Linked DNA regions of Oryzias latipes. The protein of the gene in region 1 purifies or fractionates together with the protein of each later gene. This does not show direct contact. Links are inferred from orthologs where the notes say so. Each region holds a gene or a part of one and is shown in the gene's direction. Other genes may lie near its edges. The genes, in order: psmc6, rad23b and psmd5.

Region 1 (3,963 bases):
GCTCCTCCTCGGCTACCATCAACCCGACGTGCACCGGCAACTTCTCAAGAGCTTTGCCATCCGCCAGCCACTGCGCGCGGCGGCTGCCAGTGTCAGCGCGGCTCCCGCTCACGGGGCTCCGCTCCAGCTTCTTCTGAGAGTCCGTCGGCAGAGCCGCGGGCAGGAGGAGCGCCGCCGCCATCCGCTCCCACAAGCTACCGCCGCGGTTCCGCAGGCGGCCTCGAAGCCACGACATGAGGGCTCTCTTGACGCGAAGCAGAGCGAGCAGGAGCCGCCAAAGCAGGCCGTACAGCAGCGCCATGAGTGCAGCTCCTACTCTGGAGAAATCAGGGAGAAGATTGATTTGCGTGGCTCCGCCGCACTGGAGCGACTCTCAGCTCCCCGCTTTCACTACAGCTGCTGGTTCCACTTCAGCAAACGGTGCTCCACTCCTCGGCTGGTTCCGATAGGCCAACTGGTTCTGTGTGTTAGGTTGTTTCTGTTCGAATCACCTCAGCCCCGCCAATGTATCACCACCTCCACCATAACCCTGCCTGTCAACCTCCGAACTCTGACCTGCGGTGCTGCGTGATACACGGAGCTCTCTGATTGGTCGATACCACAGTGACGGAAACGAGGCCCGCCCAACAATTCAGGGTAGTGTCCCCAGTGGTCAGCGTGCGTATTGCAGGCAATGCTTATTTTTACATGCTTTATGTCTTGAATACTTTCTTTACATTCAAGTAGCAATTCTCAATTTATATCTAACACAGATCTGCTACTTATTTAATATATAAATGTATTAAATAAAATCAAAATGTATTGACTTTATTTCAACAAGGCAACTTTCCATTTGTGGGATAAATAAAGCGTTATTCTAAATTAAATACATTCATTAATTCATCTTCTTCCGTTTATTCCCTTTCGGGGTCATGGAGCTGCTGGAGCCTATCCCGGCCGCTTGTGGGCGAAGGCAGGGGACACCCTGGACAGGTCGCCAGTCTCTGTCACACAAGTAGAGAATCACACACCCACGCAGTCTCACATTCACTCCAATGGACACTTTAGATTAACCAATTAACCTATGAAGCATGTTTTTGGTCGGTAGAAGGAAGCCGGAGTCCCCAGAAAAAACCCACGCATGCACGTGGCGAACATGGAAACTCCACACAGAGAGGTCCCCCATTGATGTTCCGGTTCTTCAGGTCCCCCAGCCAGGACTTGAATCGGGGGCCTTCTTGCTATGAGGCAAGAGCGCCAACCACTGCCCCAATACATTTAAATAAAAATGCCTATTAACAGTAATGTGTTTTACCAAACATCGATTTTCCTTATGTTTATTTGACCTAATGGAAAAATTGACCATTTTAAAAAGAGAGAACGTGGTTATTGCACACATCTTACCGCTAGGCGGCAGTAGCGCGCCCAGCAGTTGCCGCTGATCCATAAAAGAAGTATCGCTCCCCCCTCATTCAGGCAGCGTCATGGCGGACACAAGAGAAAAAGCTTTGCAAGATTACAGAAAGAAACTTTTGGAGCATAAGGAGGTTGACGGACGGCTCAAAGAATGTGAGAACGTGTCTATATCAGTTTGGTGAAAAATAGACAGCAATTTAGCTTGAACTGTTTGCGTTTTCATTTCGATAATCGATAGCCGCGTCTCTCTGATGTTCCTGCTGTGTCATGTAGTTAGCATGTCAGTCTGTGGCCTCAGCCGGGTAAACACACCTTGAACCCAGTTTGCGACTGGATCCCATTTAAGTGGGACCCTTGTGGGTCTTACTAATATAGTCTACTTTGAATCTGGGATTGTTACACCCAAAATTGGACGTTTTTTTGGTGCTATGCTAGCTCCAGCAGCTAACATACAAAACTCAAGCTATGGAAATCTGCAGTGAGACCGCTCAGAGAGCAGAGTCACAGAAGAACCACACCGATTTCTTCTTTAATAAATTGACTACACGGTTACCAGCGGTTTTCAGCGTCTATTTCTGTTGTGTTTTTTAATTCTTTAAAATTGTAACGATAACAAAAACACTGTCCTTTGTGTTAGTGAGGGAGCAGCTCAGAGACCAAACAAAACAATATGAGAAGTCAGAGAACGACCTGAAGGCTTTGCAGAGTGTTGGCCAGGTAAGAACCCAACCTGTCACCGTTTTACAGCCATATATACCTGCTTCATTCTTGCTTATCCACAAAAGTTATAAGTAAAAAAAAAAAGAATAATGAAATCAGTCTTTTCTTTGAAAATGTAATTTTGAAAACTCAAATTCATGGTTAACTTTGTCATTATAGCCATATCCTGTAATGTGCTTTCCAAAAAAATAGTTTTAGTTACAGGTTGACTGTAATCATTAGCATTTATTTGAACCAGAACTTTACCCCTTTTTCTATGCAAGTCACAGATTAAATTGTGGAAATTGTTTTTTATTAACAGCTGAAATGTAAAAAAAGAAAGGTGAAGCAATATTAAATGAATGACTGGAAAAGCTGTGAAAATTAATAGAAAAACATTTGAAGCCAGAAATAACCCCCCCCCCCCCCCCCCCCCCCCCCCCCCCCCCGTGGTCCCTGAACTCACCGGTGAGTCTGCCAATCACATCAGCCGTTTACAATAATACAGGAATGATACAGACCCCCCCCCTCCTATCAGCATTGTTCCCATTCAAAATTTAACATGGTTTCAAAGAATTCTTAGCCATGAAATTGTTCTTTTAAAATAAACTTTATCACAAATCTTGATGATACCCCTTGAATAACCCCCCCCCCCCCCCCCCCAATACCTTTTCCTCATTGTTTGGACCTTGTCTTTGCTTTCTTTTTAGATTTATACATGTTTAATCTTTTTGTTATAAAACGTAAACCGGTTTGATCTCATGTTTTATAATCAAGAATCAAGGAAAATTGTACAACTTGGAATTGAGTTTTTTCTTTTTTTCTTTTATTTTGGGGGGGGGGGGTCGGGTTCATTGTGGAATTATGATATAATAAAATCAAAAATACAGCTAAGTAGAACCTAGGGTTGTACTTGCAAGATGGATATCAAGGATTGCCACAAAACGCATTCTTTGATATTAAGGTTAATTGGATCAATGACAAAAACTGTAGCATTCAGTTTCTGCCTCTAGAAATCATTACTAATTTCACATACGATCTATCTAGTATGCACATGCAATATTTTCAGTCACATGGAGTCTCATTGAAGGGACAATAGGAAATGCCAGGCTTACTGTACTACATTCAGGCATGTCAGGTAAACTGAAGTTTATTTAAGGCTGCGTATTGATTTTTTTTTTTTTTTTTTTTTGGTCTGTGACGTCTTCTTACAGATTGTTGGAGAGGTGCTGAAACAGCTCACAGAGGAAAAATGTAAGTTTATTGAATATTTGCTCCAAATAAGAGGGTATGAATACCTTAGGTTGGAGCTTTGTCAACCTGCTGAGATAAGATTTGTTTTCTTTGGCGTTCTCGCTTGTGTTCTGTTGACGACAGTTGTGTGAAACCTGAAGCTTTGTGTTCTTTACTTTGGGTTTCCGCATCACAGCAGACAAAAACAGACAAATGAAAACGTTTGTGCTTTCCCCCTGAGATCAGCTTCATCTAACGTTTGTATCTGTGACGTTTATTCCTTCCTCCTCTCTTTCTTCCAGTCATCGTGAAGGCCACCAACGGCCCACGCTATGTGGTTGGATGTCGCAGGCAGGTGGGGGCTGCTCCTGTTCCGACTCAGATCTATTTTCACCTGATGATTCTGCTGCAGATTCTAACGTCAGTCTGTTCCTGTTCCATTGAACTGTTCTGGTCATTTCAGTCCTTAAAGCTTTTTAGAACATTTTATTCCCATGTTGTTTTAAAGGTATCGTTTCGTCCTCCAAAGACGTTTGAATCATTGATTTCTGCTCACAGGCTCTGTTGTGTTTCACCTCACCTTAAACTCGCTTTTCTGATCCGCTTGAGCTGAAAAAGTCACCTTTTGATTTGTGC
Region 2 (3,646 bases), on another chromosome or scaffold:
TTTTAGGATGGAGTCTCATTTAGCGGTATTGTGTGTGTGTTTTTTTGTTCCAATCGTGATTGTAACTTATAGCGAATCTCGATGCAGAGCAGCCGTTTTTTTCCTTTGCTGCTGAGGGGATGTGGGAGGGCAGCACCCACCGCTACAAAAAAAAAAGAAAAGGCGACAACTTTATTTTAGCTGCCAAAAGACAAGTTTAAATCTTTATTCTAAACACAATAATGCAAAAAGGATGGGAAGAAATTTAATATCAATAAAATGTTTGAGGCTGCACAGCAAGTTTATGAAAAACCATTAAGTTCTCATTATTATTCAGACAAAAATAAGCAAGAATGCAGATTGGTTTTATTTTGAAACTTTGTCAAGGGATAAAAGGGTTTTGTTGCTGCTTCCTAAAGCAAATGTTACATGATCTTTAAACTGTTTTTGATTAAAACAAACCCGAATTTAGGAGTTTCAAAAAGTCATCAAACATTTAAAGTACCATTTTACCTCACAAAGTTTGGGGAACATGCTTTTATTTTGTAGCCTAAAACTGCTGCGCCCAGCCCAAAGTCTTCGTCAGCCTCTTCATCAGCTCCTTCATCGGCTCCCAGCTCTGCGGCTGCTGCAGCGGCCCCCACCCCACCATCTGTTGCAGACAAACCTGCAGAAGTAGCACCTGCTGACAAGCTGGAAGAGAAAGAGTCTTCCACAGCCGAGCCGCCGCCACCGCCGCCTCCCGCCAGGTAAAAGGCGCCTCCGTGTTTGTGGTTCTCGCTCTGAGGCATCCGACCTCACCGCTGTTTGATCCTCTTTCAGGAGCTCAGAGTCTTCGACAGACCTGCTCAGCGAAGCCGTTTCCACTCTGGGTGAGCCTGCTGCGGTGTGGGCGGCGAGCTGAGAGGTGAACTGGCCGTTTAAACTGTTGGTTTGTCTTCCCAGTGACGGGTTCGTCCTACGACACCATGGTGAACGAGATGATGCTGATGGGCTATGAGAGGGAGCAGGTGGTGGCCGCTCTGAGGGCCAGCTACAACAACCCCGACAGAGCCGTGGAGTACCTGCTCTCTGTAAGACACGCCCCCAACCCTCCCACAGCCAATCCAAAGCCAGGGTGCTGTCTTCCACACGAAAAGGTGGAGTTATTGTCGGTGTCACCCCTAGGGTATCCCGGGTCAAGATCAAGGCTCCAGAACCGGACCCGATTCCACGCCTGCAGTGAGCGAATCTCCAGCTGCGCCTGCAGGGGGCACCGCCGCTCCCACCAGCACCGAGTCCTCACCGAGTGCAGGAGGGGGTACGACAACCACATTTCTTTTTTTTTCCTTTCTTTTGACGCCCTAATAAAAGCAATATTTGCTTCCACTTTCTGGACCATCAGGAAATCCTCTGGGCTTCCTCAGAAACCAGCCTCAGTTCCACGTCATGCGGCAGCTGATCCAGCAGAACGCCGCGCTGCTCCCAGCGCTCCTGCAGGAGATCGGCAGAGAGAACCCGGAGCTGCTGCAGGTGAGGAGCAGACCTCCACCAGCCCAACAACAAATCCAACAAAGCAGGCTTCCATGAACAGGAATGTTCAGGAACATCTGGCTAAGTTTAAAAACAGAAAAACAAAGCAAAGAAAAGAAACACAATGTGAAGAAAAGAAAAAAAGAAGCTATTTTAGGAGGGAAACCATCTGTAAATTTGTCGAATTCTCCCTTGGTTCCCATTTTCAGTGAAGCAACTCGCTAGCATTACTAACATAGTTGCTAAAGGAAATACTATGAAAACGTCGCACCAGACGGAGAACCACAGAAGAAGAGGATGAAAAACAAGAACATTAAGAAGAACAAACATAAAAATGTGTATCAGAAAACAAAAAAACAGGAATTGTTTTTTTCTCAGAAATCTGATTTTAAGGTTTCAATGCAACGAAAAATGGCGACATCTGGTGGCCAGTTGAAGCCATAGCAGCCTCTGACCTCATCCTGGGAAAAAAGCGTCTGCTGATGCCTTCTTCATCTGCATGCACAAATCTATTACATTTTAATTCTTTTATTTTCCAATCAATTGATGACTAATAATTCTAAGTTAGATGTATGTGTGGATAGATATACATTCATTCCAATCCTCACACTCTGATGCTAAAAAAAACCCCTCTGGAATAAATAGAATAAACAAAATGAGAAAAGGCAGTTTTTTTTCATAGAAAAACTTTATTTAAAACGCATGACTTGCTTTAAAGTGGCTTCAATGACAGCGATGTGGTATGAATGAACACAGACTAATCATAATAAAATGTTTTTAAAGCTTTTATTGTGAAGCTTCCATGAGAATCTGCAGCAGAACTGTTTAACTCATATTATGTCAAATCATTTTTAGTCTCTATCGGATTTTTGATGCTCCATTCTTCGAGTCTGTCATTTGCTTCTGCAGGAGATCAGCAACCACCAGGAGCAGTTTATCCAGATGCTGAATGAGCCAAATCCTGATCCAGTGCCAGGAGGAGGAGGAGGAGGAGGTGGCGGTGGTGGTGGAGGAGGAGGAGCGAGGGGGGCTGGAGGCACAGGAGCTGACACTTCCGGAGAAAGTCAGATGAGCTACATCCAGGTCACACCGCAGGAGAAGGAGGCCATCGAGAGGGTGAGGCGGAGAATAGTTCTGTGATTGGTAACGTTGACCCACTTTAGATCATAAGTCTCACCAAATATCAGGAGTTTTTTTCTTTTTTTGCTGAAGGTTCAGCGCAGGTTTAAATGTTTCCCGACTCTCCTGCAGTGATGGTAAGCGGAGAATTCTGTTTCTGTTTCGGTTTTGCAGCTGAAAGCCCTGGGATTTCCTGAGGGACTCGTCATTCAGGCCTACTTTGCATGCGAGAAGAACGAGAACTTGGCGGCCAACTTCCTTCTACAGCAGAACTTTGACGACGATTAAAACAAACTTTTCTTTTTCATATTTTTCTTCCTTCAATTTCTCTCTGATGTTCACTACAAACTTGCAAAAAAAAAAAGAAGCCTTTTAGCTCCTAAAAGTGTTTTCCTCTGCACTTCTACATCCAGTGTTCCTGATGAGACGCGCTCACCATCAGATGTGATGATGGATGTTCTGTTAGCATCTTCAAATGAATGAATGATTAAAAGACGCTCGATCTGGTGTCCCAGTTCATCTGCATTCCTGTTCATTTCACACACGAGAAGGGTTGAAACCTGAAGATTTTGTTTTGGGATCTTTTTTTTCCCCAAATCCACTTCATCGTAATCCGGGAGAACCTAAAGGCCTTATTTATTTATTTATTTTACTTTTTTGGGCTGCTGTTGACACCTGGACACTTATGTTGCAAATATGCATCAAACCACTCTGACTCCAAAATTACCTTAATTTAGCATCTACATGAATGCAGTAAAATAGGTAAACATTGTCTTTCATAGCCAAGAAATGAATTCAGGAATCAAGGGATTAACTGTTGCTAACCAAAGGGAACACAGATGATTAAAAACAAACCATATTCAGATCAAAATCCAAGAAGAAAATTGTTCTCGGGGTTATCCAGGATTAAAGATCAAATATGTATTTTAATAGATGGTATGCTACGGAGCCCCCAAAGGGACTTAAAAGTAAAACAAAAAAAGTAGTACTTTTTTTTATACCTTTCACATTCCTTTTTAAAGGCTCCATAGTCTCA
Region 3 (4,368 bases), on another chromosome or scaffold:
GAGACACCAGCCTTCCGAGCACAGAGACCCACAAAAACATCAGCGGACACGGGCGCAAGGACCAATGCAGATGCCACATACACCTTCCGGACTACATCTTGGGACAGCACATAGGCGGTGTCATCGCAATATTCGGGCAGGTATTTGGCAGGGTACAGAGCGGGGGGCAGGTACCCGGGACTCTTAGGGTCCCTGTTAGGTTGGTCTTGTTGAATCACTCTGCCTAGGTACAGATCCTCTGGGTGTCTGTGTAGTCTGAGCAGGTAGCTGCCAAGAGCTGGAAGGTTGACAAACACAGATTCCTTGGTCAGCAGAACAAATCGTGCCAGGGGACAGAAGGAGATCACCCAGCGGAGAGCCAGCACGGTCCTCTCCTTTGAGCCATGGAGGGACCGCTCTGCTCCAGCATAAGCCTGGATTACATCTCCATAACGCTCAGATTCACTTAGGAGCTCCTGATGCGCAGCAGAAGTGTCAGACAGCGCTAAGAAAAAAAATGTCTTCACTGGAAAGCCTTCAATCAGGGTTTGGTTTGCCCATGTCTTCCTCACAGCGTCTCTTTGGGAGATGTTTCCTGCAGAGCTGAAGACCAAAGCGAGAAGAAAGAGGTCAGAGTTTCTGCAAGCCTCAGCGTTTGTTATAGGGTACTCAAAGGAAATGTTTTCCCTGGCATCGCTCAGGTCCAATTTCCTTGCTTTCTCCCTCACGCCAGTAACCATGGCATCAGTGTAAACCCCTGGCGTGGGCTGCAGGAGGTACTCCTCCACAAAATCTGCCCCGAACAGCAAGGCATGGAAGAGCAGTACGTTGAAAAGCAGGAAACACCACTGGTGGGTACGCAGCTTGAACAAACAGATCTAAAATTTTGAAATGAAACAGTTCTTCAAATTCAATTTCCTGAAAACGCTTTAAGCATCTGAAGACTCTTATGCTTACCCGCATTATTTGCTTCTTCAGTGTTAATCTGTAACACAGGTGAGACTGTGGTGAGCTGGAAAACAATAGTAGAGGATAGAGAGGGTTTTCCATGTCATAGAAACTCTAGAAGCTTGCAACTCTACACCTCATCAGCAGTACAGCTCCTACCTGAGTTTCTGCATCATGCACACAGAGGATGAAGAAACATTGTCTCTTACAAATGCTTGAATGAAAAATGTTCAAGTAATTGAACAATTCTTTAAAGATTAATTGACATTCTATATGTGGGGTAACTTTAAAATGACTGAGATTAGAAGCTGAAATAAAAATTGAAGACTGCGATATAAACATTGTTTTGTACTTGAAACAGACTGCGAGTGTTCGTCGCTGCATTGTTTTAGCTCCAAAATTGAAACATTATGGCTCATTTTAAGGGGTATTTACAAATATACAAATAGATTAAACCAAAATTCCTCAAGTAAAATAAAGTACAAGGGTTTTTTGTTGATAAAAAATCAAAATACATTACATGGTGTTAAAATCTGAGTGGTTGTTGTGTTGTCCTCCCTCCACCAGGTGGCGCTAATGGCTTAACACTCTTGTCGACTTTTTCGACTAACCATGACGAAGAAGAGGCGCAGGCGCACGCATATTCGAGAGACGGGTACGTCTCTGCCAGTCATGGCTGCTTTGATTCAAAGTTTGCTGGAAGAAATCTCCAGAATAGAAGATCCAGTTGAGGAGTTACAGAGCTTAAAAACGGCGCTGCTTTCTATATCTGTCAGTGCATTGAGAGACTCAGTGAGCGGACAACGTCTGGATGTAATATTTTCTCTGCTCAGCTCCAATGACAGGTTGGTTCGGTCCTGTGTTTACAATGTTAACAGAAACTGCCAAAACTGCTGCTAGCTAACTGCTGAGTCAGTCCGGCAGGCTTTGGCGTTTGTGTGGTGAATTGTAAATTAAAAAAGTAAACTACACATATATTTTTACAGTATGCTACTAGTTAGCATGCTTAGGCTAAATGTTTCTAAAGAGAGTTTTGTACTACTATACTCTTTTATTTTGTTCTCTTTTTACAAATAAAATAAACAGCATTAAAAATAGCCTTTTTTGGAAATAAAAAATCTCCCAGGTTTTTTTTAAGAAAAAAAAAACTTAATGAGGTTGATACCGTTTATTTTATGATGTAAACTAATTATCTACAGCTTTTGCTGCCGTAAAAATCTAAAGCAGTGTACGTTTTCTTTGTTTAATTCCTCAGATATAAGCTGCACGAGACACCCACTACATTTGCAAAATAAAAGAAAATTATTTCTTCACTTTAAACTTGTTTTCAAATAAAGATGTTAGCAACGTGAGAATTAAAGATAGAGAATGAAATGGAACATCCCAATTATTTCCGCTCACAGCATGATCTACAAATTGATGTTTGATTATCTGAAAAAATAATGTCAATACCAGCGGGCTTCATGTTTAAGTTTGCCTTTTTTTGTAGATGAAATTAAATGCTTTAAAAGCATTGTTTGAGCACAAAAAAATCCTTGTTTTTATTGTTTGTTTTAAAAAACAACAACTTTATTGTTAATTTAATGGATATATAATCTTTGTCTTCTTTCTTTTCCATTACTATCTTAGTTTCCTCTGTCACTTCAACTTTTCCTCTTTGTCAAGAAGAGAAATCTTTTTGAGTTTACCTGAGTTTTTACTTGAGTTTACATATAATTTCAGGATAACTTTGACCAAAAAAAAAAAAATCGTGGATAAAAATAAATGTGGCGGTAGTCTGGGTAGCTCGTTTGGTAAGGTGAGAGACTACCACGCAGGAATCCAGGGTTCGATTCCCGGAGGGGAATGAACAATGGTAATCAGGCAATTACCATATCAATGGCGAGCAATTCACATCACCCAGTGAGGGGCCTTGGGCAAGACCCTTAATGGGCAAGGCCCTTAACGCTACTGACTCCCGGGCGCGGTTCGACTGCAGCCCACCGCTCCCCCAGGGGATGGGTCAAATGCGGAGAAGAATTTCCCCATTGTGGGATAAATACAGTATCAGTTATTTACCAGCTCAGTGGCCTTGTGGTTAAAGTGTCCGCCCTGTAAGGGCCGAGTCTTACCAAAGACTTTAAAAATGGGACTCAATCCCTCCCTGCTTGACACTCAGCATTAAGGGGTTTGACTGGGGGGTTTAAGCCACCAAATGTTTCCGGAGCGCGGCTGTGTCTGCAGCTCACCGCTCCCCCAGGGGATGGCTCAAATGCGGAGAACAAATTTCCCACACCTAGGTGTGTGAAAGATAGACTAAGTATAATATATAAATTAACTGTTATTTGAGTTCTACAAGACAAAAAGTGAGGACTAACAGTGACTCAAAATTAGCTTTCAACCTAATTCACCTGAGTTGAACAAAAAGATGGAAAATAAATGTGAAAGTTTGTTATTTAGTGAAGTGAGGTTGTATTGAGTTGGGGTAAAACTGGAATAAGAGGAGGGACTACAGTAGGAGCAGTACAATCTGTCTCTCAGGTTGTTTTATCATCTGTCAGACAAGCCTAGTATAGAAAACGGACAAACTGAAAGCAGCAGGTCAAACGCATTTATGTGAAAATTAGCACAAACTTTTTCTTTGATCCTTAAGCATGTCATAAAGATGTTTGTTGTGTTTTGCTTTTCTTGAATTTTAGTTTTATGTGTTTTCCATTTTCTGTCCAATGTGACTTTTAAAAAAGCCTTGCCTACTTGTTACTTTCTACAATAAAAGCATTTCTGTGTGTGGAATTGCGCTTGCTGTTTCCTGAAAGAACTTTGAATTGACATCTGCTGCTCAGCAAAGTATTTGAAAGTTTTGTCCTGTTTTCTCGCTGTGATCTGTAAAGGACAAAGAGGAACTTAGTGTGGACTGTTGATCTTTGACAAGGCCCTCTGAATTTCGGCCACACTTTTTGATTTGTGTTTATAGGCAGCAAGTGGAGCTTTGTGTGGAGATTCTGGACCGGATCCTGATGGCCCTCAGCCCTCTTTATCTGGTCCAGAACTACAGGACAGAGCTGCAGGGAGGTTTGACCCATCCAAATGAAACCGTGAAGATTCTGGCTTTAACTCAGGTATATTTATGAGCTGTTTGTACCCAAACATTGCAGACAGCTTCCCATAATAAGTAAACACCACTTTTTTTGTTTTGTTTTTTGGTAATTCGTCAGATTGGCAGAATGGTGGATCATCCAGACGCCGCCACAGAAATCCTCAACAACGAGGACATTCTAAAAGCTGTTATCCTCTGCATCGGAGAGGAAAAGATGTCTGTGGCAAAACAGGTCAGCACTCAGCCTTTTAAAGGACCTCAGTGAGTTTTGGTTCGTCAACAGGGTTTTACTAAATGCCTTTTTTTCCCCCTCTTTTAGGCAATTAAATCTTTGTCTAAACTGAGTTACTCCAAACCTGGATTGG

What was found.
Region 2: the proteins of psmc6 (region 1) and rad23b fractionate together in Homo sapiens (co-fractionation; 4 studies listed by BioGRID and IntAct, with this or other methods). This does not show direct contact. The link is inferred for Oryzias latipes from reciprocal best matches to the Homo sapiens genes PSMC6 and RAD23B.
Region 3: the proteins of psmc6 (region 1) and psmd5 purify together in Homo sapiens (co-immunoprecipitation; 4 studies listed by BioGRID and IntAct, counting the BioPlex papers as one, with this or other methods). This does not show direct contact. The link is inferred for Oryzias latipes from reciprocal best matches to the Homo sapiens genes PSMC6 and PSMD5.

What each region holds. Positions count from the first base shown.
Region 1 is NC_019882.2:10,564,353-10,568,315, reverse strand, and holds the start of psmc6 (26S proteasome regulatory subunit 10B), read left to right. Parts: upstream 1-1,163; 5' UTR 1,164-1,463; coding exon 1,464-1,548; intron 1,549-2,032; coding exon 2,033-2,112; intron 2,113-3,308; coding exon 3,309-3,348; intron 3,349-3,629; coding exon 3,630-3,682; intron 3,683-3,963. Other genes in the region: dehydrodolichyl diphosphate synthase complex subunit NUS1, read right to left, coding at 1-301. UniProt on the Homo sapiens protein: Component of the 26S proteasome, a multiprotein complex involved in the ATP-dependent degradation of ubiquitinated proteins.
Region 2 is NC_019870.2:9,293,580-9,297,225, forward strand, and holds the end of rad23b (UV excision repair protein RAD23 homolog B), read left to right. Parts: intron 1-528; coding exon 529-728; intron 729-801; coding exon 802-851; intron 852-924; coding exon 925-1,052; intron 1,053-1,146; coding exon 1,147-1,279; intron 1,280-1,363; coding exon 1,364-1,491; intron 1,492-2,400; coding exon 2,401-2,607; intron 2,608-2,784; coding exon 2,785-2,898; 3' UTR 2,899-3,129; downstream 3,130-3,646. UniProt on the Homo sapiens protein: Multiubiquitin chain receptor involved in modulation of proteasomal degradation. Binds to polyubiquitin chains.
Region 3 is NC_019870.2:8,935,017-8,939,384, reverse strand, and holds the start of psmd5 (26S proteasome non-ATPase regulatory subunit 5), read left to right. Parts: upstream 1-1,524; 5' UTR 1,525-1,539; coding exon 1,540-1,772; intron 1,773-3,880; coding exon 3,881-4,025; intron 4,026-4,121; coding exon 4,122-4,235; intron 4,236-4,322; coding exon 4,323-4,368. Other genes in the region: putative UDP-GlcNAc:betaGal beta-1,3-N-acetylglucosaminyltransferase LOC100288842, read right to left, coding at 1-719. UniProt on the Homo sapiens protein: Acts as a chaperone during the assembly of the 26S proteasome, specifically of the base subcomplex of the PA700/19S regulatory complex (RC).